Linked DNA regions of Ovis aries. The protein of the gene in region 1 binds, or shares a complex with, the protein of each later gene. Links are inferred from orthologs where the notes say so. Each region holds a gene or a part of one and is shown in the gene's direction. Other genes may lie near its edges. The genes, in order: DDX46, SF3A2, SF3B3, SF3B4 and SF3A3.

What was found.
Region 2: DDX46 (region 1) and SF3A2 share a complex: the UniProt entries of both Homo sapiens proteins name them as parts of the 17S U2 SnRNP complex. The link is inferred for Ovis aries from reciprocal best matches to the Homo sapiens genes DDX46 and SF3A2.
Region 3: DDX46 (region 1) and SF3B3 share a complex: the UniProt entries of both Homo sapiens proteins name them as parts of the 17S U2 SnRNP complex. The link is inferred for Ovis aries from reciprocal best matches to the Homo sapiens genes DDX46 and SF3B3.
Region 4: DDX46 (region 1) and SF3B4 share a complex: the UniProt entries of both Homo sapiens proteins name them as parts of the 17S U2 SnRNP complex. The link is inferred for Ovis aries from reciprocal best matches to the Homo sapiens genes DDX46 and SF3B4.
Region 5: DDX46 (region 1) and SF3A3 share a complex: the UniProt entries of both Homo sapiens proteins name them as parts of the 17S U2 SnRNP complex. The link is inferred for Ovis aries from reciprocal best matches to the Homo sapiens genes DDX46 and SF3A3.

Annotation. Positions count from the first base shown.
Region 1 is NC_056058.1:43,897,960-43,903,630, forward strand, and holds part of DDX46 (probable ATP-dependent RNA helicase DDX46), read left to right. Parts: intron 1-1,579; coding exon 1,580-1,745; intron 1,746-4,190; coding exon 4,191-4,342; intron 4,343-5,107; coding exon 5,108-5,221; intron 5,222-5,671. UniProt on the Homo sapiens protein: Component of the 17S U2 SnRNP complex of the spliceosome, a large ribonucleoprotein complex that removes introns from transcribed pre-mRNAs.
Region 2 is NC_056058.1:19,188,277-19,193,552, forward strand, and holds the end of SF3A2 (splicing factor 3A subunit 2), read left to right. Parts: intron 1-108; coding exon 109-180; intron 181-984; coding exon 985-1,031; intron 1,032-1,180; coding exon 1,181-1,290; intron 1,291-2,118; coding exon 2,119-2,168; intron 2,169-2,248; coding exon 2,249-2,389; intron 2,390-2,799; coding exon 2,800-2,868; intron 2,869-2,955; coding exon 2,956-3,774; 3' UTR 3,775-3,894; downstream 3,895-5,276. Other genes in the region: AMH (muellerian-inhibiting factor precursor), read left to right, coding at 4,565-5,018. UniProt on the Homo sapiens protein: Component of the 17S U2 SnRNP complex of the spliceosome, a large ribonucleoprotein complex that removes introns from transcribed pre-mRNAs.
Region 3 is NC_056067.1:1,097,986-1,103,656, reverse strand, and holds part of SF3B3 (splicing factor 3B subunit 3), read left to right. Parts: intron 1-1,948; coding exon 1,949-2,114; intron 2,115-2,623; coding exon 2,624-2,719; intron 2,720-5,003; coding exon 5,004-5,076; intron 5,077-5,671. UniProt on the Homo sapiens protein: Component of the 17S U2 SnRNP complex of the spliceosome, a large ribonucleoprotein complex that removes introns from transcribed pre-mRNAs.
Region 4 is NC_056054.1:100,032,401-100,038,579, reverse strand, and holds the start of SF3B4 (splicing factor 3B subunit 4), read left to right. Parts: upstream 1-2,491; 5' UTR 2,492-2,528; coding exon 2,529-2,562; intron 2,563-3,008; coding exon 3,009-3,137; intron 3,138-3,368; coding exon 3,369-3,911; intron 3,912-4,230; coding exon 4,231-4,437; intron 4,438-5,411; coding exon 5,412-5,585; intron 5,586-5,780; coding exon 5,781-5,968; 3' UTR 5,969-6,179. UniProt on the Homo sapiens protein: Component of the 17S U2 SnRNP complex of the spliceosome, a large ribonucleoprotein complex that removes introns from transcribed pre-mRNAs.
Region 5 is NC_056054.1:12,728,712-12,734,382, reverse strand, and holds part of SF3A3 (splicing factor 3A subunit 3), read left to right. Parts: coding exon 1-13; intron 14-119; coding exon 120-225; intron 226-3,207; coding exon 3,208-3,280; intron 3,281-3,650; coding exon 3,651-3,742; intron 3,743-4,832; coding exon 4,833-4,915; intron 4,916-5,671. UniProt on the Homo sapiens protein: Component of the 17S U2 SnRNP complex of the spliceosome, a large ribonucleoprotein complex that removes introns from transcribed pre-mRNAs.

The DNA of each region.
Region 1 (5,671 bases):
CATAATGTAAACCAATAATTAAATAAGGCATTTTAAGTTTATCTACTATCTGCACTTTTCTTTGAATTGCCTATTCATAGCTTTTGCCCATTTTACAATATATTATAGCTTCATTTCCTTTTTTTTTGAGATCTAATTTTTGTTTTTAGTGGTTCTTTTTTTAAGGGAACTGTTTGCTGAGCAGGTTATCTAAGAAATTAACACAAGAAGTCTGGAGGTCTGGTTTCTGATTTAGTTTCTACTGTGGAATGACTGGGTGACCTTGAGAAAAAAACATAAGCTTTCTGGGGCTCATCTTCAGAGAGTATGGAATTATGAAGGATGTAAATTCAGGGACACAGGTTTTGTTTGTTTAAGAAATAAATTTATTTTTAAAATATAAATATAACCATATTATAAAATACTTGGAAAGTCAGAAGTAATTCTCTGTAATTCTAGATACCCAAACGCCATCAATATTGCAGTTTATTAGTATTTTCTTTGACTGTTTTTTTACATGTGTGTTTCTATACCTATTTATATAATTGTAGCATGGATGGAGGAGCCTGGTAGGCTACAGTCCATGGGGTCACTAGGAGTCGGACACGACTGAGCGACTTCACTTTCACTTTTCACTTTCATGCATTGGAGAAGGAAATGGCAACCCACTCCAGTGTTCTTGCCTGGAAAATCCCAGGGCTGCCATCTATGGGGGTTACAGAGAGTTGGACACAACTGAAGCGACTTAGCAGCAGCAGCAGCATGTATAAAATTTTGATATTTATGATGCTTAATCTTTAAGTCCTTGATTATGCCTGTGAAAATGATTTGTCTTTCCTTTGAAGAGTATAGTTGATAATCATGATACAAGCTTTAGAATGGCTGTTCCTAGAAAACTTAGACCTAAAGGCTAAAAGATCAGAACTTCTTAAAGATTTTGATAAATAACTTTCATTTACTCACTTGTTTGAAATAGAAAATTGTGATAAAAAATCCTTCTCATGGAGGCAGTCTTGGAGAAGTTTAAAGGATTTACAGTTGAGAGTAATAATTAGGGAACTTTGCTTGCCAGTTCTTTTAGTTTCCACTTTGAGGGAGAGGTTGAGTTCATGTGTGCATATTGGTAGTAACTAAAAGGAGAGTAAGTTATAGTATTTGAAGTTTGTGTTTGGCTTCCCTGGTGGCTTGGGTGGTAAAGCGTTTGCCTACAATGCGGGAGACCTGGGTTTGATCCCTGGGTTGGGATGATCACCTGGAGGAGGAAATGGCAACCCCCTCTAGTATTCTTGCCTGGAAAATCCCGTGGATGGGGGAGCCTGGTAGGCTACAGTCCATGGGGTTGCAGAGTTGGACACGACTGAGCGACTTCACTTTTCTGGTTTATTAGTTGAAGATACTTTTGATTGTGATTTCATTTTGTTAGTTTATTCCTTAATATATTAAAAAGATGTGTAATCTAAATCTGGTCAGAATTTAGGAGTTTTGTGTAGATACCTGTTTTTCCTTTTCTTTTTTTATACTTTGAAAAAGTTATTTGGAGTGTCAGTAGGAGTAAAACTGTTGATCCTTATTTTCTTCTATTTTTCATTTTCACCCCAAGAACTTTGACCAGAATAAGCTAGAAGAAGAAATGAGAAAGCGAAAAGAAAGAGTAGAAAAATGGCGAGAAGAGCAACGTAAAAAGGCCATGGAAAACATAGGGGAACTGAAAAAGGAAATCGAAGAGATGAAACAAGGGAAAAAGTGGAGCTTAGAAGATGATGATGGTATGTTCATTTGTTTGCTAGTAGCCTAAACAGCAATTCATGTATAATATTCTAGGGTTATAAGTGATAGACTATTTTTTATCATGAAAAAATACACATAATATTTACTATTTTAACCATTTTTAAGTGTACATTTCAGTGATGTTAAGCAAATTCACAGTGTTGTGCAGCCATCACAACTGCCCATTTCTAGAACTTTCCAAACAAAATTCCAAACAAAACTGCCTTATTCAACAGTATTCATCATTCCAAACAAAACCTCTGCCTTATTCAACAGTAATTCTCTATCCTGCCTTCCCGTACCTCTTCATTTCTAATAACATCTAATCTACTTTCTGATTCTGTGAATTTGCTTATTCTAGGTACCTTAATAAATGGAATCGTGTAGTATTTGTCTTGTGACTAGGTTTATTTTATTTAGCAAAGTGTTTTCAAGGTTCATCCATGTTGTAGTCTATATCATAATTTCCTTCCCTTTTAAGTCTGATAGTATTACGTTGTATGTATATACCACATTTTGTTTACCTATTCAGCTGTTGTTGCATATATAAGTTGTTTCCATCTTTTGACTATTTCGAATAATGCTTCTGTGAGTGTTGGTTTGTGCATATCTGATTGAATCCCAACTTTCAGTTCTTTTGGGTTTATAGCTAGAAATAGAGTCACTAGATTTATTTTGAGGTTTTTCAATGCCCCTTTTCATATTTAAAGTTTTAATTGTAGAGTAGCGTGCAGTAAGGATCACTGATTTTACTTTAGAGTGGAGAGTTGGATGCTTATGGGCAGTCAGTAAATAGCTCTTTAATTTTTTTACTTCAGATGTTAGTAGTGAGGGTAAGTTAAGGGCATGTTTCCAAGTCCCTCTGATTTTTTTCCTAACTTAGAAGAGCAACATTTCCCCTGCACATCTTGATTATTTTTTTCTTTTTTAAATTATGAAACTATGATAGTACATTTACAGGAGATTTGGAAAATACAGAAAAAAGTTACATATATTTCCACTATATATTACAATTATTTTTTAAGTAGATAAATTAAGGTTTTTAGTTGGAGTTTCAATATCAAACTCTCAAAAGTTAATGGAATGAATAGACAGGAAAGTAGAAGGATATAGTAGACCTCAAAAGCACTATGAACCAATTCAACATAATTAAGATTTATACAGTTTTCACACCAAGGCAGGATACAAATTCTATTCAAGTTTCCATAGACTGTGAACCAGGGGACACTGGAACATATCCAGGGACATAAAGCAAAGTGCAAAAATAGTCTATGGGTATTAAAATCATACAGTCTGTTCTCTTATCATGGTGAAATTGTATTAGAAATCAATATTAAAAGATATTTGAAAATAACACACATATTTCAAGTGCAGTGTGACATTTACCAAGAGAGAATTTTGACATAATCATTGAAAGTCTCAGTAAAGTTAAGAGACTGAAGAAACAGAGTGATTGCAACGAAGAAAGCAAGTAAATGAGAAATTAGTATCAAAATGAGAAATTAATATCAAGGATACTTTAAAAACTCCATGTGTTTGGACAGAAAATGTCCACTTTTAAATGATGGTTGTATCTAAGAAATCATAATAAGGAAAATTAGAAAATATTTGTAGCAGAATAAAAATGAAAGAGAATTTATCAGAATTTGTTGAATGCAGCTGAAGCTGCTCAGTGCAACTAAATGCAACTTCACAACTGATTTTGATGCGTAAGATGTTAGTTAAGTGGAATAATGAGGTTTTATAGGAAAAGGGAATTTTGCTCCATTTTTTTTGTGAAAATCCCTGTGAATTTTTCATTTTCTGTGGAAGTTCACCAGGGTGTTTTGTTCTAAATAGATTAATGGATTATGTCTTTAAATGGTGGTGATGTTGTTGTTCAGTCACTAAGTTGTGTCTGACTCTGTGAGCCCATGGACTGCAACACACCAGGCTTCCCTGGTGATAGTTATGTAAAAAACATGAGACTGTCTTTCGGAGAAGGCAACGGCAACCCACTCCAGTACTCTTGCCTGGAAAATCCCGTGGATGGAGGAGCCTGGTGGGCTGCAATATACTATTAATTTTTTCTTCCTGTGATTAAAGAAAAGTGATTGAAAGAAGCGAAATAAGCATATCCTTTTAGCAAAGTTTTTAGTTTTGCTTCTGTTAGTGTGGTTGTAAAATAATACCAGAGATCCATTTTTCAGACGTATTAGTGTTTCTTCCTCTTTTCAGTTTAATAGTTTATCATTTATTTCTTTTATTATTAGTATTATTCAAAACTAATGCTTGTTTGATTTAAAACCTTGCCAGTATGAGTATTTGAACTGTATTGTGCCTGGGTTAATTGATAAGGAAGGTATTTGGGTAGTTAAGAGAAAAGGCTTCTTAATAGGGGCATGGTCGGATTGTGAAATAATCCCTTTTGAAACACATATTCAAAGTATGTTCTGATATTTTAGATGATGAAGATGATCCTGCAGAGGCTGAAAAGGAAGGAAATGAAATGGAGGGTGAGGAGTTAGATCCATTAGATGCTTACATGGAAGAAGTGAAAGAGGAAGTAAAAAAGTTTAATATGAGAAGTGTGAAAGGTGGTGGGGGAAATGAAAAGGTATGGGATTTTTTTCCTATTTTATTTTTAAAGATTTATATTCCTAGTTGAATAACTTGAATTCATTGTTGCATTGACCTACTATTGGCTTGCATGGCTTTATAAAGTTAATGATTTTGTTTCCTTCTGCATCTCAGAAGTGTCTGTGCTTTTTCTAAAGAGCAGAGATACTAGCAAATTGTAACTGCAAATGTCCTTTTAGAGTCATCATTACTATTATCATCTTTGTTTAGTGTTTTTGCTTGCTTGTTCCTTTCTCAGTAGGTCCTTTTCCAACACTCCCATATTTTATACTCCTGATCCTCTTTAGTCTAGGTTTTCTTTTTCTTAATAGAATTTATTGACAAATGGTGTAATTCAATGTTGTGTTTGCTTGTTCCTTCTTTCTTCTAAAATCTTCCCAAGAGCAGTGATCTTTACCTGTTTTGTTTATTGATTCATCTTCAGATCCTGGGATAGTATTTGGTTTGTGGAATGAGTGAAAAGTACTATTTAATAGTATTTTAAAAATAGATTACATAATATTATATAAAATTACATACTACATACCTAATTACCTGTGTGTTAATGTGTTAGGAAATATAATGCTGTTGTATTACATTTTTAAATTTAAGTAAGGAGAAAGTGGGCTACTGTTTGTTTTTGCATTAGTAGTCACTGACTACTAAGTTAATTCAGATTATAAATTGTTACAGTTATCATTGTTTCATTTGGTTTATACTTTGTGTTTCAACTTTAGCAAAATATTTCACATTCTTTTTTTAGAAGTCTGGGCCAACGGTCACAAAAGTTGTCACAGTTGTCACAACCAAAAAAGCAGTCGTAGATTCTGATAAGAAGAAAGGTGAGCTAATGGAGAATGACCAGGATGCCATGGAGGTAACTTTAATTTTAACTTTGTTCACGATACCATAGAATGAAACAGCAGCCCGCTCCAGTATTCTTGCCTGGAGGATTCCATGAACAAGGGAGCCTAGTGGGCCATGGTCTGTGGGATCACAGAGAGTCGGACACGACTGAGCACACAGCACGTGGTACCATCCTATGAGTATTTATAAGGAAGCATTGATGGAGGTGTGCTTTTCAGTTACGCAGTGTACTCTTGGGAGAAATTCTTGCTTTTCTCAACAGTATTGTAGCCAGATATCCAAACTGGTAGAACATTTTAACCTCTTTAACTTCTTGTATACCTACTTTTTTTTAAATTGAAGTATAGTTGATTTGCAATATAGTATTAGTTTCAAGTGTACAGCAACGTGATTCAGGTATACACACACATACATATTTTTAGATTCTTTTTCATTATAAGTTATTACAAGATATTGCATG
Region 2 (5,276 bases), about 25 Mb from region 1:
AGTGGACCCTGTGGGATCCCAGGGGCGGTGGTGCTGGCTTGGGGCTCCAGCTTGTCCTCCATCCCTGAGCGTCTCCCCCACTGCCTGACACATGTGTTTCTTCTGCAGGACCCCTACTTCATGAAGAACCATCTGGGCTCCTATGAGTGCAAGCTGTGCCTGACGCTACATAACAATGAGGTGCGTTTTTCCCAGGGAGGTACTGGCTTTAGAGCCCCGCTGTGCCATCTCCGCCCTGCACGGCACTGGGACAGCCACCGTGGGGTCCCTACCTCCATCTGTCAGTTTCCTGTAACATCAGTGGCTCCGACATCACAGATGTGCATCTGTACATGTGGGGATGTCCAGGATGTCCACGTGGGGCGAGAGGTCTGGAAGGCATGGCTTCTAGTTTGAGTCTTTAAGCAAGTGTCAGTCGGATGCTTGCTTGCATTGGGTTCCTGTCCTTCGCCATAAGCAGGTCCTCTCTGTCCTTTCCTGTGTAAGGAGGGCGCACTTTCTGTCCAGATGGTTCGCAGCTCCAGACAGCTGCACTGAGCTGAATAGTCTCGTATGGGAGCATCTCCCAGCGGTTTTGAGGCTCCCCCTTCTCTTTGGGGGACCATCCTGGACATAGAGTCCCTGGAGGTCAGAAAAGCCTCCAGTTGGAAACTGCTGATACACATGTTTTCTTCTTGGGACATTATTGAGGTGGAATCAAAGGGCATGTTTATTCCAGGTGTCCCCACCACTGCCCAGCAATATCCACTGGCCCCACCCACATCCTGGCAGCCACAAGACTGCTGTGTCCCCCCGACCCGAGACTCTCATCTCTGGCTTTTGAGCATCTCGTCCCCCTGTGTGCAGATCCACGAGAGCTCATGTGTTCAGTAGCCACCGGGTGCCCGTCAGCACTGAGCCCTGTGGATGGAGGCGGGCCCGGGTGGGACACCGGGCACCACTCCCTCACTGTGCCCTCAATTGCATGTTCCTCTCATGTTCCAGGGGAGTTACCTCGCGCACACCCAGGGGAAGAAACATCAGACCAACTTGTAAGTACCTGGCACCCCTTCCCATGCCTGCTGTCCCCCTCACCTCACATCTCCAAGGTCGGCCGGGGATGGGCGCTCCTGGCGCCTGGGGCTGTGGCCTTGATGGCCTGTGAGGAGGGGCCTCAACACTGTGTCCGTCCCACCTGCAGGGCCCGGCGAGCAGCCAAGGAGGCCAAGGAGGCCCCCGCCCAGCCAGCACCGGAGAAGGTCAAGGTAGAAGTGAAGAAGTTTGTGAAGATCGGCCGCCCAGGCTACAAAGGTAATTGTCGATGCCCTGGGTGGGCAGTCCCTCACCCACCTCCAGCTTCACCAGTGGCCTCAGCTTCCATTAGAGGCTTCCTGCCCTGAGGGCGGGGGCCTTAGTGTCTCCTCTGCTCTTTATACTCCTAGCAGAGGTGGGTGCGAGGGTGGGAGGGGACTGCAGGCCCTGGTGTAGTCCTTTCCTCTGACCTTAGAACTGGGTGCTGGTGCCTTTTCACATGGAGAGAGAGTAAAGGAAAGAGGAGGCTTACCTGGGCCAGCAGCTGCAGAGGATCGGGTTGCCAGGGAGGAGGGGAAGGCAGGCCTCCTTGCAGGTGTTCTTGCTGAAGTGGGCACACCCTGTGTATGACTGGCGTTTCAGACAAGACATGGCTTGGGAAGGCCCTGGAGTGGTCCAGCTTGGTGAGCCAGGGCGAGGATGGCACTACCCCCAGGGAGGCCACCACAGGCCTTTTGGTCAGTCTGGGTCATCTGGCCTCTTCCTGGCTGTGTCAGGGAGACACTAAGTGCCTGAGGGCGCATATGAAGGGCCCCGGAGCTGTGTGGAGAGCAGCCCAAAGCCACAGAGCTAGACTGTGATGGGCACCCGCTCCCAGAAGGTCTGGTGGAGGAGGGTGGGCAGTGGGGAGCCCACCCTCTGCCCCCACCCAAGTGATATCAGGCAGGTGGCACCTGGGGCACAGCCCTCCCACCCTTGGGCCAATGACTGCTAGTTGCCCAGCAGGGTGACCTCCCCCCACTTGCCAAGCCAGCTCTCCCATTCGTGGGTGACATTAGGCCAGTCCTAGGACCCCGTTACTGGACCTGACATCCTCCTGTGTTGCAGTAACCAAGCAGAGAGATACAGAGATGGGCCAGCAGAGCCTCCTTTTCCAGGTGAGCAAAGGCCGGGAACCCTTTGTCCTGAGGGGAGGGGCCCCTGAGAGGCAGTGCTGTCACTGGCCGTGTCCCTGCAGATCGACTACCCTGAGATTGCCGAGGGCATCATGCCCCGACACCGCTTCATGTCTGCCTACGAGCAGAGGATCGAGCCCCCGGACCGGCGCTGGCAGTACCTACTCATGGCCGCTGAGCCCTATGAGACCATCGCCTTCAAGGTAGTTTGCTGGGACCCCGGAGGGTCCTGCAGGGTCTGCTCCATCCAAGCAGCTGGCCCCAGCCCACACCAGGCGCCCCCTCTGGGCCCTTGCCTCCTGAGGGTTGTCAGAAGACGATGCAGAGTGAGGGCAGGGGCTGGGTGTCCACCGTGAATCAGACCCTGGCATGGCCCTAGCAGTGAGGTGGCCCTGTTACCAGGCTGTGCAGGACTCTGACCTGGTCCAATTCTCAGATACATGTTAACGAGACAGGGTAGGTTGCAGCTTCCCTGGGTGGCAGGGCTGCTAAGCAGTGGAGCAAGAATGCCAGCTGTCACCCCCACGTCAGACCCTGTTCCCTCATAGAAGGGCCTCCTGGGCCAGGCCATTTCATGGTCCTGAGGGCCTGTCTGCCCCTCTACCCCGCACAGGTGCCAAGCAGGGAAATAGACAAGGCTGAAGGCAAGTTCTGGACTCACTGGAACCGGGAAACCAAGCAAGTGAGTCAGTCCATGTCCATGCAGTTCCCCATCCTTCTCCCACCCCAAGGCCTCTGGGACCCTACTCAGTTTTTCCTGTCTGTCCAGTTTTTCCTCCAGTTCCACTTCAAGATGGAGAAGCCACCAGCCCCACCGAGCCTTCCTGCTGGGCCTCCTGGGGTGAAACGGCCCCCACCCCCACTGATGAACGGCCTGCCCCCTCGCCCGCCACTACCAGAGTCGCTGCCTCCGCCCCCACCAGGAGGCCTGCCCCTGCCACCGATGCCGCCCAGTGGGCCTGCACCCTCAGGGCCCCCAGGCCCTCCTCAGCTGCCCCCACCGGCTCCTGGGGTCCACCCACCAGCACCGGTGGTCCACCCACCAGCCTCTGGGGTGCATCCCCCTGCTCCTGGGGTCCATCCCCCAGCTCCTGGGGTCCACCCCCCGGCACCAGTGGTTCACCCACCAGCATCTGGGGTCCACCCCCCTGCTCCAGGGGTCCACCCTCCAGCCCCAGGAGTCCACCCTCCTGCTCCGGGAGTCCACCCTCCAGCCCCAGGGGTCCATCCTCCCCCATCTGCTGGTGTTCACCCCCAGGCACCAGTGGTGCACCCACCAGCTCCTGCAGTTCACCCCCAGGCTCCGGGGGTGCACCCGACTCCTGCCGTTCACCCCCAGGCTCCAGGGGTCCACCCACCAGCTCCTGGGGTCCACCCACCAGCCCCTGGGATCCACCCCCAGCCTCCTGGGGTCCACCCCCCTCCTCCTGGGGTCCATCCTCCGGCTCCTGGGGTCCATCCTCAGCCACCTGGGGTGCACCCCTCAAATCCTGGGGTGCACCCCCCAACGCCCATGCCCCCGATGCTGAGGCCTCCACTGCCCTCCGAAGGCCCTGGGAACATTCCTCCCCCTCCCCCCACCAACTGAAAAGCCACCCCCATCCTAGCAAGTCTGGTTTGGTTTTCCTGGGTTTCGCCCTCAGAGTAGAGTTCTTTTGTACTGGGCTGGGTGTCCTCAGAGCTCATTAAAGAGTCTGCTGACCCTGAACTGGACTGCTGTGTTAACCTGTGGGCGGTCAGCTTGCTGTGGGTGAACACACGTGACTGCTTTCCACCACCATAGGGGGTGTCAGGGTCCCACCTGGACCACAGGGGGTGGCCCCTGCTGTCTCTGCAAGGACAGACCCTGTGGGCCAGCAGAATGTGGGGTGGTTCTCTGGGAAGACAGCAGAGCGAAGAAGGCTGCTCACTCTCCTTGGGGGTCTCTGTGGGCCTCAGAGGTAGGGTGAGCGAGCACGTGGGGTCACTGGGGGACAGACCTGCCTACCCGATGTGAAGCGTCATCCCCCTTGGGGCTGGCACCTGAATCCTCCTGGGGCAGGGGCTCCACACCTTGCCCTCCAACACCCCCAGGTTGTTGATAGTCTGACTGTCTGGGGCATGCACTCCTGCTCACATTCCTGCTCTGGGGAGGGGAAAGATTTGTCAAGGACAGTCTGACAAATGGGTCACAGGCCACACACACTGTATCACTGCTCAGGAGATAGACAGGCAGGTTGGAACAGAGGGGGCTTTGAGAAGGCCACAGGCCTCCCAGGCTCGCAGCAGGCACCAGTCTCCAAGGTCATGTCCCAGGAGGAGATAGGGACTGCCCTGTACCACAAACAGCCCTGCTCCCCTTATAAAGTAGGGCAGCGCAGCCCCTGGAAGCTCCCAGGATGCCCGGTCCATCTCTCTCTCTGGCCCTGGTGCTGTCGGCCATGGGGGCTCTGCTGAGGCCAGGGACCCCCAGGGAAGAGGTCTCCAATACCTCAGCCTCGCCCAGGGAGCAGGCCACAGGCAGCGGGACACTCATCTTTCAGCAAGGCTGGGACTGGCCACTCCCCAGTCTCTGGCTGCCAGGCAGCCCTCAGGACCCCCTGTGCCTGGTGACCCTGCATGGGAGTGGCAACGGGAGCAGGGCCCCCCTGCGGGTGGTGGGGTCCCTGAGCGGCTATGAGCAGGCCTTCCTGGAGGCTGTGCGGCGCACCCACTGGGGCCTGAGTGACTTGACCACCTTCGCTGTGTGCCCCGCTGGTGACGGGCAGCCTGTGCTGCCCCACCTGCAGCGGCTGCAGGCATGGCTGGGGGAGCCCGGGGGTCGGTGGCTGGTGGTCCTGCACCTGGAGGAAGGTATGTGTTGTGTCGGGGCTGGGGTGGGAGGCCAGGCTCTAGTGCCCTCCTCCCAAGAGCAGAGGACTGCAGAGCCCCCAGCCCAGACCCCTCCCCAGTCTCAGGAAGTGGAGGCTAATGGCCAGAGAGGTGGGTCACTGTATCTTTGCTTGTTTGGGGCCAGAAGTTCTCCAGCTCCCAGCCACCCCTCTCCCCATGCAGTGCCTGGCAGAGGGGGATGTGGGGGCTAACACCTTGTTCACCTACCTGGGAGCTACA
Region 3 (5,671 bases), on another chromosome or scaffold:
ATGTCTTATGGGCCAATTCCAGCAACTTGAGTGTAAAGTCTCAATTTGCTGTCCTCTACAGCTTTCATTTGAAAGTCAAGTTGCTTATTACTTTTGTATTCCTTTTTTGTGGTACTAGTCTGAATTAGTTCCCTAATTCCTTATTGCAGTTCATTGTCCTGTAAAACTCAACCTTTATAGAGGGTCATGTCTTCAAGCAAACAAGACACAACCCTGATGAAATGCTGTCCTCATCCCTGTGTTACAGTCTTTGATGGCTTTTCATAGACAAATGGGAGAAGGCGATGGCACCCACTCCAGTACTCTTGCCTGGAAAATCCCATGGACGGAGGAGCCTGGTAGGCTGCAGTCCATGGGGTCGCAAAGAGTCGGACACGACTGAGCGACTTCACTTTCATGCATTGGAGAAGGAAATGGCAACCCACTCCAGTGTTCTTGCCTGGAGAATCCCAGGGACGGGGGAGCCTGGTGGGCTGCCGTCTATGGGGTTGCCCAGAGTCGGACACGACTAAAGCGACTTAGCAGCAGCAGCAGCACAGACAAATGAGTTCAATAAGTCTGAACTCTACTCTGGCCTTGAATTTAAAACCAGTATTGAAGACTCCAGATTGCTTATGAAATGAGATGCCATGGCCTTGCCTTCAGGTTTTGCGTTACGTGCAGAAGGCTTGTCTAATGCTATTTCTGTGTGAGGAAAATGGAAATACTGTCTAAAACTTTGTGATTCTATTCCAGTTTCGCCGTTTCTACAGTTGTTCTCCCTTTCTTTATGTCCTTAACTCATTCTCATGGAGCTTATTCCAACTGTCTTTATTACTCCTTTTCCCAGTTTATACCTGTTTTGTCTCACTTTTTACAACTTAGCCTATTGTTATAAGTATTTTCACCCATTTCTAATTTTTTAAGTTTTCTTAACAAGGAACTTCCATTGTAGAAAAGTTGGGAAAGTGCATATAAGCAAAAATGTCTCTTGTAATCCTTCTGCCCAAAGATAGCATTTTTGTGTGTGTGTACCTGTGTATATATATATATTTAAATCTTTGTATAAAAACGATAATGTATTGTGTTTTGTAAGTTATGTATTTTTATATAATAGTGAATAATTTTTTATTAATAAATAGGTCTTAAACATTCATATTTTTTAGCACCCATTATTTCTTTTTGTGGTAAAATATGTATAACAAAATTTGTCATTTTAACATGTTCAATTTGGTGGCATTAATTACATTTGCAGTGTTGTATAACCATTGCTACTATTTTTCCAAACTTTTTTTTATCACTCCAGACTGGACCCGTATGCCCATTAGGGAGTCTCTCCTCCTGGCCCTGGCCCTCAGCACTGGGGACCTGAGTGCACGCACGCGTCCACCCTTCTGTCTGGCTCACTTCATGTGGCATAGGTTTAGAGTTCTTGTGTCAGCTCTGTATTCTTCTTACCTATGAATAATAACCCACTATATGTATGTACCACATACTATTTACCTGTTAATGGACACCTGGATTCTTTCCACCTTTTGGCTGTTGAGAGTAATGCAGCATTGGACGCTGGTGTGCAAATATCTGTTTTAGTCTTTGTTTTAAATTCTTTTGGGTATGTACCCTGTTCTTAAAGACATAGAAAACCCTAGTCAGTAAGCAGAGATCTCAAACTGTAGATGCCGACTCAATATTAAAGTGATTTATGAGCATTATGTTGATGGCAGACATCTTCAGAAGTACTTTTTAAATGCTTATTGGGTTTTTCCCCTTCCAGTTTTACAGAGATAAAATTGAAATACAGCGCTGTGTAAGTTTAAGGTATGCAGCATAGTGATTTGACTTACACACATCATGAAATGGTTATCACAGTTAATCTCATTTGGTTCATGTATAACATATGGAAGTGTTAATTATATTTATAATGTACATCAGAGAAAACATTTTACCTGAAATCTTTGCCTCTCCCTAGTTACTTGTATCAAATCGCGCATCTTGGAGATGACGACGAGGAACCTGAGTTTTCATCTGCCATGCCTCTAGAAGAAGGAGACACGTTCTTCTTTCAGCCAAGACCACTGAAAAACCTTGTGTTGGTTGATGAGTTGGACAGCCTCTCTCCCATTTTGTTTTGCCAGGTGAGGATCTTTCAAGTCACTACATAATGAGCAGTGCTAACCAACTATTTTTTAATATGAATGAGTTTAAAGTTTTAATTCAAATTAACCTCATAGTCTAAAGAGGTTCAGCAGCATATCTGTGGACCCGCCGGGGTATAAGGGTAAAATAGCTGAAGGCAGTTGGGGGGTTAAAAAGCGTTACATAAATCCTTGGGCTTAAAGTGGTTAAGACTCTACATTTCTACTGCAGGGGGCACAAGTTCCATCTCTGTTCAGGGAACCAAGATCCCACGTGCTGTGTGACCAAAACAAAGAACTGATAAAAGCTTTTTTTGTTTGTAAAACTTGCTGCTTCAAACTGCTTGCTTTTCGGGACATTGGGTCTTTTTTTCACTCCATGTGCCCAGGGCCCGTAGTAATATTTAAGCCTAATAAACTAAAAAAGTGGTTTGTCCCCATGAGAATAATCAAGTTTGTGTGTGGGAAAGTAGCACAAGTAGGCATTTCTCCCCCTTTTCTTTGTGCAGATAGCTGATCTGGCCAATGAAGACACTCCCCAGCTCTATGTGGCCTGTGGTAGGGGACCGCGGTCATCTCTGAGAGTCTTAAGGCATGGACTTGAGGTAAGATTGAAATTTCTAGATCATATGCAGGGTTTGGAGGCAAGTGCTAGCAAAGCAGCCTAAGGCTTTATTCTGATGATATCAAAGATGTATTCAGTGTTTATGTGAAACAAAAATGTTTTTCTCTTCACCTGTTTCCATAAAGTTTACAGTTTAAATTTCCTAATCTTTAACATGTCAACACAATAGGCACTTTAAAAATTTGGCAAATGGATATCAAAGGGGAAAAATACCTGTTAATTCCAGGTTCACTTGCCACAATGTGTAGGTTGAGAAGTCTGACTTGCGTGGCACATTTTATTGCACCTCATTTTAGTCTTGATCTTTCTGCATAGTTTTTAGATACTTACATTTTAAACTATGTTAAATACAGTATATATATGTATTTATATCTTACTAAGTTTATTTCTTATTACTATGTGCTTTTAAGTCGTACAATTTTTAATGTTTTTGCAGTGTAGCTTCACAGTGGGTGGATCAGAATTTATTTAATGAATCCTTTATTGTTGGACATTTTAGGTGAAATGGACACTCAAAATTATCTTCTCAAATCCCATATCCTTTTCTCATCATGGTTCTTGTGTTGATGCATTTTAGCAAGCCCTGGGCTTGATTTTGTTAGGAATAAAATAAATCTTCCTATGGCAGTTACTTTTAGCAGTTGGGGTTGGCAAACTCCAGGCTCTTAGAGGCCCACTGCCTGTTTTTTGTAAATTTTTATTGGAACACAGGCAAGGTGACCTTTGTTTTGAATTTTGGCTCTACTTAATTGTTACTAAGCTGTTGTTTCCTCTTCTGTAAAATGGGCTTAATAGCATCTGCCTTAAGGATTGCTGTATGAATTAAATGAGAATGCAGATGAAGTACTTGGTCAAGTTCTGGCTTATAGTAACTGTTCAATAAACGTTAGCTATCAATATTGCTGTCTCAGGGGACTTAAAAAGTTTTGACTGCCTGAATATTCATCAAGTCACCAAAATTTCAGTGACTTGAACCTAATTTAGACCAATAGTTCTTGATAAGTTACTTGCTCCTCATTGGATCCCAGTGATCATCTGGTGAAAGTAAGCACTCAAACACAAAAAAATGTACACATGCGTTAACACTGTGTGCATGGTGTTGGGAGAGAAAGAGCCTGATGGAGAATCGTTGGTTTTGAGTCCTCTGCTGCCTCCTAATTTTTTCTAATTCTATTTTTTAAAATCTGTTATGCAAAAAATATTTTTTTAATTGCTGGACATTGCTTTCTTCCTGTGTATGTTTGTTGAATCTTGTTCAGCTAGATTATGGTCTCAGTTGAGCAGAGTCACTGTCAGATAGTGTAGCGTACATGACATTGAGATTTTATTGATTGTGAAGTTTCCCAAGATTCTCCTGTACCATGATCAGGTACTCTTGCTACCATTACCTGGATAAACCAACAAAAGGATAAAATAAAATGCCTTTCATATGTATTCTTGAGTCCTTCCTGTAAAATGTAGCTCACTGTTCAATTGCACAATATGATAGGCTGTCTTGCTTTTTATCTCTAGGTCATTTTAAAATATTTAATAAAATTTTTATCTTAGGTGGTCTTAGATTTACAGAAAAATTGCAAGGATATTATAGACAGTTAATGTTTAGTCCACACCTTGTTTTCTCCTCTGGATCATTTTGAGTTTATCTTACATATTTTATTTATTCTCATTTGAAAGTCTATATGACATTCAGAGGAGTCTTGACTGTGACATTAAGGGGCATAAAAATCAAGTAGGAAGGACAAAACAGTTCCTCAGATTACTTTCAGATAAGTGTCCTAAGCGGTGATGATTGTGATTCCTGAGAACTTACAGGAGGGAGAGATGACTGCCAGCTCAGAAAATAGGGAAGATTTTTTTCCTAAAGGATGTGGTATTTGAATTGTTTGGTGAAGAGATGTGGAATTTCGCCTTAAGGGAGCAAAGGAAAGGAAAGGATGCTAATTGAGATGGACTGTTTCATTCCCACATGCTTGCTTTTTGTGGAGGATGCAGGCATGTTATCCTCAAAAGGAAGCATTTGGCCTTGGCTGCAGCAGCTATCCTAGATGTCCCATCACTGCTTGCTGAAGGCAGTGTTGGGAATCGACAGTACCTCTAGCCGTTTGGTTCTTAATCTTCTGTTTGACTAGCTGGTTCCAGTGTTTTAATCCAGTGTACACTGTGAGCACTGCTATATTATGGGGACTGTATTATCTAGTGTGATTGTAAACAAGGAGCTGCGTTTCACGCTCAGTGGGTCTGTGGTTTCTCTCCCTTCCTATCAGGTATCAGAAATGGCTGTCTCAGAGCTACCCGGCAACCCCAATGCTGTCTGGACAGTGCGTCGGCACATTGAAGGTAAGCGGCCCTTTCCCAGAGGTCTGAGTGAGGGTCCAGGTGCCACTGACAGTAGACGCTTAAGAGGCTGCATTCATAATACTTCTATGTCATTTCATATACTAGAAACTTTTTTTTGACTCAACACCATGTTTTTGGGGCTCCCAATCACAATGCTTTCACGTACTACATTTTGTACACATGGGTAAGAGGCACACAGGGTGGCTGTTCGTCCTCAGTGCATACACACTTCAGTATCATAGATAGAGCTGGCATATGTCGGTTCTTTGACTATATTTATCATTAAGGTAGTCTTTCCATATGTGTTAGAGGTATGTAGAAGGAAAAGTTTTTGCTTCTTCTACAATGTTTTCTCCTGTTGTATTGAAATCACAGTGAAATTGAAGGTATTCTGGATATTAAGAGGCTTGTTACTGTTCTGTTCAGTAGGTGTAGTAGTTGTGTTTAAGGGAAGTGGAGGTTGATTGAAGCAGAATTTTAGGGTGAATGGAAAAGGAGGGATGGAAGAAAGAGGAAGTCTGAGCTCCTGAATAAAAATGGTCACCTCATCCTAAAACTTTGAAAGTTATGTGAAAATGCATATTAATGCAATAGC
Region 4 (6,179 bases), on another chromosome or scaffold:
CTGAAGTTCCTAAATTCCTTTGATTTTTTTCACAGGCTCATCCTACTAGATGAGGAGAGGTGATAGTGTCTGAGTTCCTCATTCCCCCTCTGGTGTCATTTATAGTCCTAACTGTCCCCAGGAAGACAGAAATCCTACAAATCACAAATGGCATCTTTTTTGGTCCTCCTCATCCTTATTAGTCTTCTTGTCTCATGCACACATTTTTATGTTTCCTTAAAATCAACTTTAATCAGTCCTGAGGCCTAGTTTGAAGTCTAATAAGGAGAGCAGATAAAGTGTTCTCAGGGGAAGGCTTGTAGTTTGATAACTGGTACAGTGTGCAGTGGGTGACAGCTGGACATTCCTTCATGACCCAGTTTGGGGAAACTGGGGGTCATCAGGTTTCTAAGTTGCCAGTTGATTTCCTGTTCCTCCTTAGCCAAGCTTCATGGTTCCTGGGCCCCCCAGTTCCGTGTGGCTCTTCTCTAGAGGGGCCCTGACACCCCTGAATCAACTCTGTCCTTGGCGGGACAGTCCCTCCCTGCTGGCAGTCTCCTCTCGTTGGCTCCCTCGACCTGCTATCTCTTCTGAAAGCCTGGCTGATCAGGAGTGGGGGCTCCCCTCACACTGGGGAGCTTGCCCTTTACCCCCGGGACTGCTGCTGCCTGGATGTCTGGGACCCCAGATCAGGCTCTGGAGACGCTGCTACCTGAGGGGAAGGCCTGAGGTCCAGGTGAGAAGGGAAGGCAAAAATTGGGAGTGGGAGAAGGGGTCTGACTTTTGAACCAGATGTTCTAGGAGAAACCAGATGTTTCCAGGAGCAGAAGGGCAAGGGTTTGGGGGACTGGGAAGTTAGATACCATTCCTATTGGTATCAAAGCGGATAGATTTGGGAGTGTGGGAAAACTGCTTCTGGCTTATATCAAGTGGAACCTAGGGGATAGCTGGAGGAGGAAAGGGAACTAAGAGAATTAAGGATCCTCTCTGCCTCTCTTCACCCTCTTCCCAGATGGGCCTCTCAGCTCCCACAATCTCTGGTCTCCAGGAGGAGCTATCCCATCTTCAAGAGTTATTAAGGAAATGGACACCACGAATATCTCCCGAGGATCACTCCAAGAAAAGAAACCCAAATACCATTCTCTCCCAATCCCGTTGAAATTGCTGGCTTTCTCATGGGCAGGGCAGAGGGTGGTCTGGGGTGAGGGAGAGTTTTGTCTAATCCTTCGGTTTTTCTTATCTGGTCTTGCTGCCTCAGCTTTCATAAACAAGATCACTGACCTGAGTTTCTATTGAGGATGAGTGGTGCTAACCTTATCCAACTCTTATCCTGCCTTGTTTGGTTTAAACAGTTCTTATCATTTGAAGAATTAAGAAACAACAACAATCCAGAAGACTGCCTCTCTTTTTCAGGGCAATTCCATGTCTTTGGGATGGAAATTTTGGATATTGCGCTGGTAAATTGTGATAATCAGATATACTGTTTATCAGTGCCAACAAGATGGCCTACAGACCTCCTTCTCACCTCCTCTTGCTGCTTAATTCCAATTTCTATTTCTTCCCTTATAGTTTTCTATGGGTATGGAATATACACAGGACACCCTATCTCTTCCAATTATATATTTTCATTGTGACATTTCTATTTAAGGAGTTCATTAAAGCACAATATTTATACACGCCGCTGGCATTGTTTGTGTCTGATTAAAGGAACCTTAGGTAAGGGAGTGGTGGGAGAGGAGGGAAAGGAATGTGACCCACGAAGGGACGGTACCGACCATATTACTGCTAAGGAAGTAAGGGGCTGGGCTGCGTGAGGCGCTGCAGGATTCACAATTTAAGGTCCTCTCTTCCGTGTAGACAGGGCAAAGGCACGCCCAGAGGTTGCTGGAGTTCAGGGTGTGCTCTGAAGGCCTCGGCCTCGGCCTCGGCCTCGGCCTCTGGGCTTCAGTATCAAACCCCCGTAAACTTCGGTACCACCCCACCTCCGAACCTCAGGTTCCCCTCCTATGCAGTGACTAGGCGAGCTCAGACATTCCACAATTCCTTCCCTGAGGAAAAAGGAAATACCTCAAGCTCAGGCCTGGGCTGTGAGGCCGCGTCTGTTCAAGGACTGCGGGTTGGGATGGACGGTTCTCCCCACGCCTTGCGTTGAGCGGTTCCTCTGTACACCCTTCTAAGGGGGAAAAAAAGGCTACAAAACACATGAAAACTAAAGTTTTGTTCTCCCAGCTTCTGAAGTGACAGTTTCGGGAGCAGTGTGACCCTTTAACTTCTAGCACTGCCTTAAAAGAGACAGAACGTTTCCTTTTCACTTTCCCCGCCGCGTCCGCTCATAGTAGCACTTCTGCACGGGAGCGTGGACCGAAGCGCACCGCTACTTCAGCCGCTTCCAGTCTCAGCGTCTCCTAAGATGGCCGAGGCCGCTTCCGGCTCCTCCCCTGCCGCGGCCCCGCCCACCACCTCACGTCAGCCTTCGCCTCGGAAGCGGAAGTAGTGACTGAGGTCAGGGGGCGGGATCGCTGCCTGGAGACGGCGGGAGCGCTTTCGCCATGGCTGCCGGGCCGATCTCCGAGCGAAACCAGGGTGACTGGAGGGGACAGACCCAGAATGGACTCTGGGGGTTTGAGGGACCTCGACTAGGCCCAGCAATGTTTCCGCTGGGGCGGGAGATTTTGCCTTTCCGAAGGGCGCCAGACTGGTCCCGATGCCTTATGGGGACGGGATGGACAGACTTGAGGCCTATAGTTGTGATGCTGTGTCCAGTCCTCTGCTGCCTTCCCACTCAAAAAAAAAAAAAAGAAAAAGAAAAGTTACAGAGTGAACTTGCACCGTCACTCTAAATTAGACATAAGATTGTCTATTTTCTGGAAAGGAGGAGCTTCTAAAAGCTTAATCTAACATCTTTTTGTTTTTTCGCTTTTCTACCCCATCTCCACGTCCACTTCCTCCGCCTGGGTTCCATCTTCATGTTCCCGTTACCTCCCTATTTCCCCTCATCTCTGTCCTTACCTCTTAATCCTGTCTTCCAGATGCCACTGTGTACGTGGGGGGCCTCGATGAGAAGGTTAGCGAACCACTGCTGTGGGAACTATTTCTCCAGGCAGGACCAGTAGTGAACACGCACATGCCAAAGGATAGAGTCACTGGTCAGCACCAAGGTGAGTACACGGCAAAAAGTACAGTTATCTATGAAAGGGACAGACTGCTCCTGGAGGTCTCCAGTGATATTAAGTTTTGGAGTGAGCAAACTAAAGATTTTGTTTCTGGAACCATTCTCAATTGAAGTTGGGATTATTATTTCTTATCCTTTGTGCTTTAGAAGACAAATGAGTTATAAACTCGTTTTTAAATCACTTCAGTTGCTAACCTCTTCTTTTCCACTTCCCCAGGCTATGGCTTTGTGGAATTCTTGAGTGAGGAAGATGCTGACTATGCCATTAAGATCATGAACATGATCAAACTCTATGGGAAGCCAATACGGGTGAACAAGGCATCAGCTCACAACAAAAACCTGGATGTGGGGGCCAACATTTTTATTGGGAACCTGGACCCGGAGATTGATGAGAAGTTGCTTTATGATACTTTTAGCGCCTTTGGGGTCATCTTACAAACCCCCAAGATTATGCGGGACCCTGACACAGGCAACTCCAAAGGTTATGCCTTTATTAATTTTGCTTCATTTGATGCTTCGGATGCAGCGATTGAGGCCATGAATGGGCAGTACCTCTGTAACCGCCCAATCACTGTGTCCTACGCATTCAAGAAGGACTCCAAGGGTGAGCGCCATGGCTCAGCCGCTGAAAGACTTCTGGCAGCACAGAACCCACTCTCCCAGGCTGACCGCCCTCATCAGCTATTTGCAGATGCACCCCCTCCACCATCTGCTCCCAATCCTGTGGTATCATCATTGGGATCTGGGCTTCCTCCACCAGGTAAAGCTTTTGATAAAAAATGTTTGTGTTGGGTTGGGAAGGGTGGGGCCAGGAAGAAGGAAAAATAACCTGGCAAGGAGAGGACATTGAGTCATTAGGTGATGAGAAAGGGGTTGAGGGATGATGATTGTGGTGGGAAGAAAGTTGTTGAGTTTTCTCCAGAAGGTTGTTGTTCAAGTCACTTAATGTTGCCGCTGACTTCAGAGAGCTGGGAGGAGGGGAAAAGAGCTCATTCGGCCTGGAGAGGCCAGGGTGGAACAGGCTCTCTAAAGGCACTCTCTGCTCACTATCATTAACTGTTTTTCCATTTTCTCTATAGGCATGCCTCCTCCTGGCTCCTTCCCACCTCCAGTACCACCTCCTGGAGCCCTTCCTCCTGGGATACCCCCAGCCATGCCACCACCACCTATGCCTCCTGGGGCTGGAGGACATGGTCCCCCATCAGCGGGAACCCCAGGGGCTGGACATCCTGGACACGGACACTCACATCCTCACCCATTCCCACCTGGTGGGATGCCCCATCCAGGTGAGCGTTCTTTGCTGGGAAGGAGAGGGATGAGCTTGATGGAGGAGCTCTGTCAGCACTTAATGCTGCTGTTCTTTGTCCTTTAACAATAATAGATAGTGCCCAAGCTCTCCTTTCTTTCAGACATTCTTTTAGGAAAAAAATGCAAGATACTTTACCGTTTATTTTAACAACCATCATGCTGTCTTCATTTCTTGTTTAAGTTTTACCAAAGAGAACAACAGGCTCTCTGCATTGGTTCTTTACCACTAGCGCCACCTGGGAAGCCCAGGCTCTCCTATCCTCATTATTTCACACCTAATTTATTTTAGTAATACCCTAACTGACACTTTGACTCTAATTATCTCTACTTTGATTGACTATCTCAGAGTAATTTTTCTTAAATACAGATATTCACACACCTTTGCTCAAAATTCTTCTGGTTGTTCCTTTTTACTTACAGAGTGAAACCCAAACTCGCTATCATAGCATTCTAGGCTTTGCATAATCTGGCTCCTGCCTGTTACTCCCATGACTACAAGCTGTTCTACTGGGTTTCCTTTAACATACTGTGCTGTTGATCACATCCATGCTTTGCACCTGCTGATTTTTTTCTGCCTGGAATGTTCTTTTCCCACTCTGTTGTCCACCTGAAAAATTCCTGTTCATCCTTTAGAATTAGATCTTTGCTGTGACAGTGTCTCTGTTATCTTCCCAGATTCTATTCAGTAGAATAATCACGCCATTCTGCAGCACTGTTACAATGCCTAAATCATGGAAGGAGCAAATGGGCTTCAGGGACTGGGGAGCTGTAGGGTAGTTGGTTGATTTATTCTCTTGGGATGGAGTCAAAGATAAGGGCACTTTTTACCAGCTTTAATTTCTGTATTCTATCTGATGTCACTTTCTTCATTTTCTTCTCTGTCTTCTTTGCCCTCCTGTCTTCTAACTTCCTTTTGTCTCATTTCTCACTGTGTCTTGTTTTGTTCTCATAGGGATGTCTCAGATGCAGCTGGCCCACCATGGCCCTCATGGCTTAGGGCACCCCCACGCTGGGCCGCCTGGCTCTGGGGGGCAGCCACCACCCCGACCACCACCTGGAATGCCTCATCCTGGACCTCCTCCAATGGGCATGCCCCCCCGAGGGCCTCCGTTTGGCTCTCCTATGGGTGAGTAGTCTTTAGCCACCTCCCTCATCCTCACATATTGTTCTTGCAGCTTGTTTTGTCACACCTCTTATCCCCTGCACTTTCTTTTCTTCTCTTTCTTTTCACTATCTCCCAGTGTATCCTCTCCTTACATTGTCCCAATATGAACTGTCTCCTATTCCTTGTTTTTACTTTGTTTTCCTTTTTTACCTGCAGGTCACCCAGGTCCTATGCCTCCGCATGGTATGCGTGGACCTCCTCCACTGATGCCTCCTCATGGATACACTGGCCCTCCACGACCTCCACCCTACGGCTACCAGCGGGGGCCCCTCCCTCCACCCAGACCTACTCCCCGACCTCCAGTGCCCCCTCGAGGCCCACTTCGAGGCCCTCTCCCTCAGTGATTTCTCATTGTTTTTCCTCCTGTTGTAGCCTCCCAATATCTATTCACTTCCTTGGACCAATCAGAGTTGCTATAGCTCCGAGGGGCTAAGGCACTAATCCCTCTCAGGCCTTTCTTTTGTAAGTGTAATTTTTTCACAGGAGGCTGTATTTTATTTTATTTTTTCCTATGTTGGCCCTAAGTGTTTTACAAATACCCAGAGAAAATTAAAC
Region 5 (5,671 bases), on another chromosome or scaffold:
ACGACAAGGATGGGTAAGTCACAGTCACATTCAGTCCAGCAATTACTGCTTTTGAGGGGCCATGGTTAAAGGACTGACTTTGTGCTCCATGTTTTCTGGATTTTTTTCTGAAATTGCAGCTTACGAAAAGAGGAGCTCAATGCCATTTCAGGACCCAATGAGTTTGCTGAATTCTATAATAGACTCAAACAAATAAAGGAATTCCACCGGAAGCACCCAAATGAGGTATGACCTTGCAAAGTTTTTTCTCCAGTCCTGTCCAAAGAGTATACAAAGGACATGTGTTAGGAAAATGGAGATGGTCATTCAGATGTCCTTTCAAAAAGGAACTTACCAGTTAGCAATAAGCAGCGTAGTTAGGTGACATCCTGCAACTGCGAGTTCTTTCAGAATTTCCCTCAGCTTTAAGCTAAAGCCATTCTCTTCTAGGGCTTCCCAGGTGGCTCTCATGGTAAAGAAGCTGCCTGCTAATTCCCTGGTGGTTCAGTGGTAAAGACTGCCTGCACTGCAGCAGTTGCAGGTCCAGTCCTTGGGTCTGGAAGATCCCCTGGAGGAGGACATGTCAACCCACTCCAGTATTCTTGCTTGGGAAATCCCATGGACAGAGGAGCTCGGCGGGCTGCAGTCCATAGGGTCGTAAAGAGAGTTGGGCACGACTGAAGCGACAGAGCACACATATTCCTGGGCAGCCCCTAACCAGCGACTGAACACAGTGTGGGGGAGGGGTATCACAGCCTGGTTATTTCTGCCCACTGTGAGACTTTCAGTGAGATTTTCTCATATCTACATCATGGTCTAGGCTCTCTCTGCTCCATCCCTCCATCCTGCTCGCTCTCTCCTTTCTTTTTTTTTTTTGGTGGCCACACCTCATAGTTCATGAGTTCTTAGTTCCCCAAACAAGGATCAGAACCGTGTCCCCTGCATTGGAAGCATGGAGTCTTAACCACTGGACCACCAGGGAAGTCCTTTCCTTTTTATCTTTCATGGGTAATCCCTCTCCTCCTGCCCCCACCACCCCACTGGTCAAGAAACCACTTGTGTTCCTATCTTGAAATCTGCTGCCTGGAGGAACCGACTAACACAAAGAGGCTTTACTCACGTCCATTGATCATTACCCCTTCATGATTCAGCCCAGAGATCAACTCTTTCATGAAAATTGCTTCCTAGTCTATCTCACTCCTAGTTAATGCCAGTTAATCTTTCTTTTCTTTATGATCTTGTCATGTTCTCTGACAATAAATGTCTGCCCCACTGTACTGTAAAATTATAAGGAGCAGGGATTACATCTCAGTTGTTGAGAACTTACTAAACATCTTGCACAACTGACCAAAGGAATTCCAGGGCAAAGGGGGAGTGAGGCATGTCTGTAGAAGTGGAGAGAGGGGTCAGTAGTTGCACTGAGCATTTATGACTCTGTAACTGAAAAGTTGTTTTTTCCCTTGATGGAAATAAGGAAGAAAGAACTCGTTTACACTGGAAGTGGATTTTTATGTATGTAGATTTTCAGGTGATGATGGACCTAGGTGGAAGTGTCATATGAGCAGTTGAAGTTAGTGACTGGGGCTTGAGAATTATCACGTGGACTTGATGGCTGAAGCTGTGAATCATAGTGTTCTGGGAGGGAGAGAGAGTGTGAAGGGAGACTCAGCTTCTGTGTGCCTTGGGGCACTCACAGTAAGGCACCTCACGGGAAGGGGGCCTGGGGAGCCTCCAGCACAGGTCAGTTGGCAGCTCCAGGCCATGTCTTATGGGAGCTCAGCAAATGAGCTTCAGAAAGGAAGTGACTGGTGTCTGCTGTTACTGATTGGTAACTGCCAGGATTGCTGCTCAGTGGAAGTGGTGGGCGTGGAAATCTGGGAAATCTGGTCACAGGGAGTACTCGTGAATAATGGGGAAACAGTAGTGTGTAGTGTTTTAACATGCATTTGAAAGACTGGCAGGAAAAAGGAGAGGAGACGCAGGAGGAAGATAGGAAGGTGTCCATATGTAAAGGAATGGGTAGAAAAATAAGAGACTGAAAATACTAGGCAGGAGAGGCTACTTAGTGGAGGCACGTAAATGTCTCCTCACTCCCCTTGGAAGGTATTCAGTCTTTTGCTAACCAAGAGAGAAGACGTGAGTACCATTTTGGTGTGTAACCTTATCCCAGCTCTGGTGGAAAAGTGATGCAGAATAAATGGTTAAATTTATTCCAGGATATACTAAGGGGGAAAAAATAAATCCAATTATGTGAGAAGCAAAGTAATAATCTTGTCATTTGCCTGTATTATGGTTGCACAAATACATATATAAATGCACAGAGCAATGGTTTCCAAATCTTGCCGTGCATTTGAATCTGAGGGTCTTTAAAAAGTGCTGATACCTCCCCCCACTTCTCATTTAATTGGTATCAAGTATGTCAGGGCTTTTAGCGCGCTCTTTCAGGAGAAGGCAATAGCAAGCCACTCTAGTACTCTTGGCCTAGAAAATCCCATGGACGGAGGAGCCTGGTACGCTGCAGTCCATGGGGTCGCTATGAGTTGGACACGACTGAGTGACTTCACTTTCACTCATTGGAGAAGGAAAAAGCAACCCACTCCAGTATCCTTGAGCCTGGAGAATCCCAGGGACGGGGGAGCCTGGTGCGCTGCCATCTATGGGGTCGCACAGAGTCGGACACTACTGAAGTGACTTAGCAGCAACGGCAGGTGATTCTAATGTGCAGCAAAGTTTGAGAATGGCTGACATTAAAAATTTTTTAAGTAGTCTGTAGACAGTGGTTATCTATTTGCAGTACAATCTTTTTTGGTGGAGGCAGGTTGCTTCCCAGGGGATGGGAGTGCTCTTCAAGACATATGGGATCTTAGTTCCCCGATCAGGGATCGAACTCATGCCCCCTGCATTGTAAGTGCAGAATCTTAAACACTGGAGCACCAGAGAACTCCCTTGCAGGAAAATTATTAAAGGGGGCAGCTTGATTTTTTTTTTTTCATTCTGTCTTTTTATGTTATTTGAACTTTTTTGAATGTTATTTTAGCAAATGTTAGTTAAACAATGGCAGAAAGCAAAGGAAAAAGCAAGGTAATTGGAAAACAGAAGTAAACTTCTAATGAAAAATCCAAGCTAAGTGAAGCATTAGAAATCCAACTTTCTATATAGCCCATTCTGTGATATTGCAACCTTTATGTTGAAAAATCCACCTGAGCTTTTCTCTTTTTTTCCCATCAGATCTGTGTTCCGATGTCAGTGGAATTTGAGGAACTCCTAAAAGCGCGAGAGAATCCAAGTGAAGAAGCACAAAGTAAGTAGGGTTTAGTGCTTCTCTCCAGCACCAACAGAAGTACAGGTAAATTACAGAGCTCAGATTTGCCCTCAGAGCTCTGGAAAATGGCCCCACAGAAATTTATAGCTGGGTTCTCCTACTGATGTTCTCTTTGTTAGACTAGAGAAAAGCCTGGACTAAATTGTCATCCTAAACTGGCTTTGGGCACAATGTTCATTTTGTGCTCGTCCAACTTAAATGCATTGGCTGAGTCCTGTTTCACTCTGTGAGCAGAGAAAGGGTATTTGGGTAAAGGGCTGCATTATGAAACAGTGCAGTCCACTTGAAAGGCCAAGTCCAATAAAGTGGTCTTTAGTACCTGAATCACTGATACCTCTGATTGCTTCAGATTTGGTGGAGTTCACAGATGAAGAGGGATATGGTCGTTACCTGGATCTTCATGACTGTTACCTCAAATACATTAACCTGAAGGCCTCTGAGGTAAGACCCAGGATAGAGAAGGTGGCTCTGATTCTCACAGTGAGTCAGGACACTGAGCCGTGTCTTCCTTGTGTTCTGGAACTGTTAGGTAACTATTAAAATGGTGATGTGCTTTCTTAGAAGGAAACCATTTTCAAAGTGAAAATCGGGTTTCTGCAGTGAATGAATAAGTCTTTTACTTACTAGTAAATTTTGTTTTATTATTACAAGCCTATTTTGCTTTTGTAACAATAAATTTTTAAAACTCCCAAATACACGTCCAGCATCTGTGTTAGGTACACATAGTAGTAGGTACATAAAGATACAAAAACATAATCTCTTCCAGGAATGACTATTTAATATCTTTAAAAAGATACCTAAAATAACTTACCATAAGAGATGAAGAAGGAAATGGCAACCCACTCCAGTGTTCTTGCCTGGAGAATCCCAGGGACGGGGGAGCCTGGTGGGCTGCCGTCTATGTGGTCGCACAGAGTCGGACACGACTGAAGCGACTTAGTAGTAGTAGTATAAGAGATGAGATTTAATGTGACAGTGTCAGGAAAGTCGCAAGGAAGTATGTGATGGAATTCCTCTTGGAGTTGTAAGGACATGTCCCAAAAGTTGTCTCAGCTATATAAGCTCCATGAGTCCAATCCTGTTGGATCTGTCTTGTTCTCATGTATATCCATACACTTGGTCCAAAGATACTTAATAAGTGATTGAGGGAAAAAACGGCACGTTCCGGGACGTTATTTTAACAGGTAGTGGATGTCAGTCTTTAAATAAGTGCCCGGTATATAGTAATGATGAACAGATATTTCTTTTAGCCTATGGTTTATTGACTTGATCTGTATTTTTCCAGGTTAATTATGTGTCTCATATTCTACTCCGTCTAGTGGAATTAACACCCAGTTAATGCAGGAATTAAATGGTAGGAGGAAAAAAAAGGCTAAAGTGAGTGTTGTTAACTTTGTTAGGCTCAATTTTGATCTCATTTATTGGAGATTATGTAGTTAGGACCAATTTTGATCTCATTTATTGGAGATTATGTTGTAACTTGGTGCAAACACCTAACTGAATCTCTTTGTCATTTCTTTTCTCTTTTCAGAAGCTGGATTATATCACTTACCTGTCCATCTTTGACCAGTTGTTTGACATTCCTAAAGAAAGGAAGAATGCCGAGTACAAGAGGTAGGCATTATTAGCTTCCAGGCCTCTCCTGAATGTGACTAGAAGATTATTTTAATGAGATTTGAGGGCAGTTTTGAATTTTGTTTCATGAAAGGCATACATGAATGACTTCCAGGTTTATGGGAAGGTAGGGGTTTTAAAGATACATTTTAAAAATCATAATACTTTGGGACTTCCTTGGCTGTAGAGTGGATAAGAATCTGCTTGCCAGTGCAGGGGACGCGGGTTTGATCTTTGGTCCTGGAAGATTCCACATGCCGTGGAGCAGCCCCTGTACCACAAGTATCGAGCCCCCCTCTAGAGCCCAAGTGCCTCAGCTAGTGAGTCTGGGCACCCTGAGCCCGCACACCGCAGCTGTTGGGTCTGTGTGCTGCAGCTGCTGAAGCGTATGTGCTTAGAGCTTGTGCTTTGCAGCAAGAGAAGCCACCACAGTGAGAAGCCTGTGCACTGCAGCCAGCAGTGGCCCCCGCTTGTGCAGCTAGAGAAAGCCCTCGCAGCAGTGAAGACCCAGTGCAGCCAAACAAATAAATGATTAATTAGTTAAGTAAAATCATAATACTTTGGCTCTGGAAGAATATGTGTCTGTGGGCACATCTGTGATCTTAGGCCCATACTGTTCTTAATTTTGTCTCATTGTGAAAGGAAGTCTCCCACCCTGGTGCCTCTGTCTCTGGAGCTGAGCAGAGTGGGGACAAAATTAAACTTTCTCAGAGGTGCCTGGGTCTGATGTATAGATGTCATGCTTTGTTGGTGGTG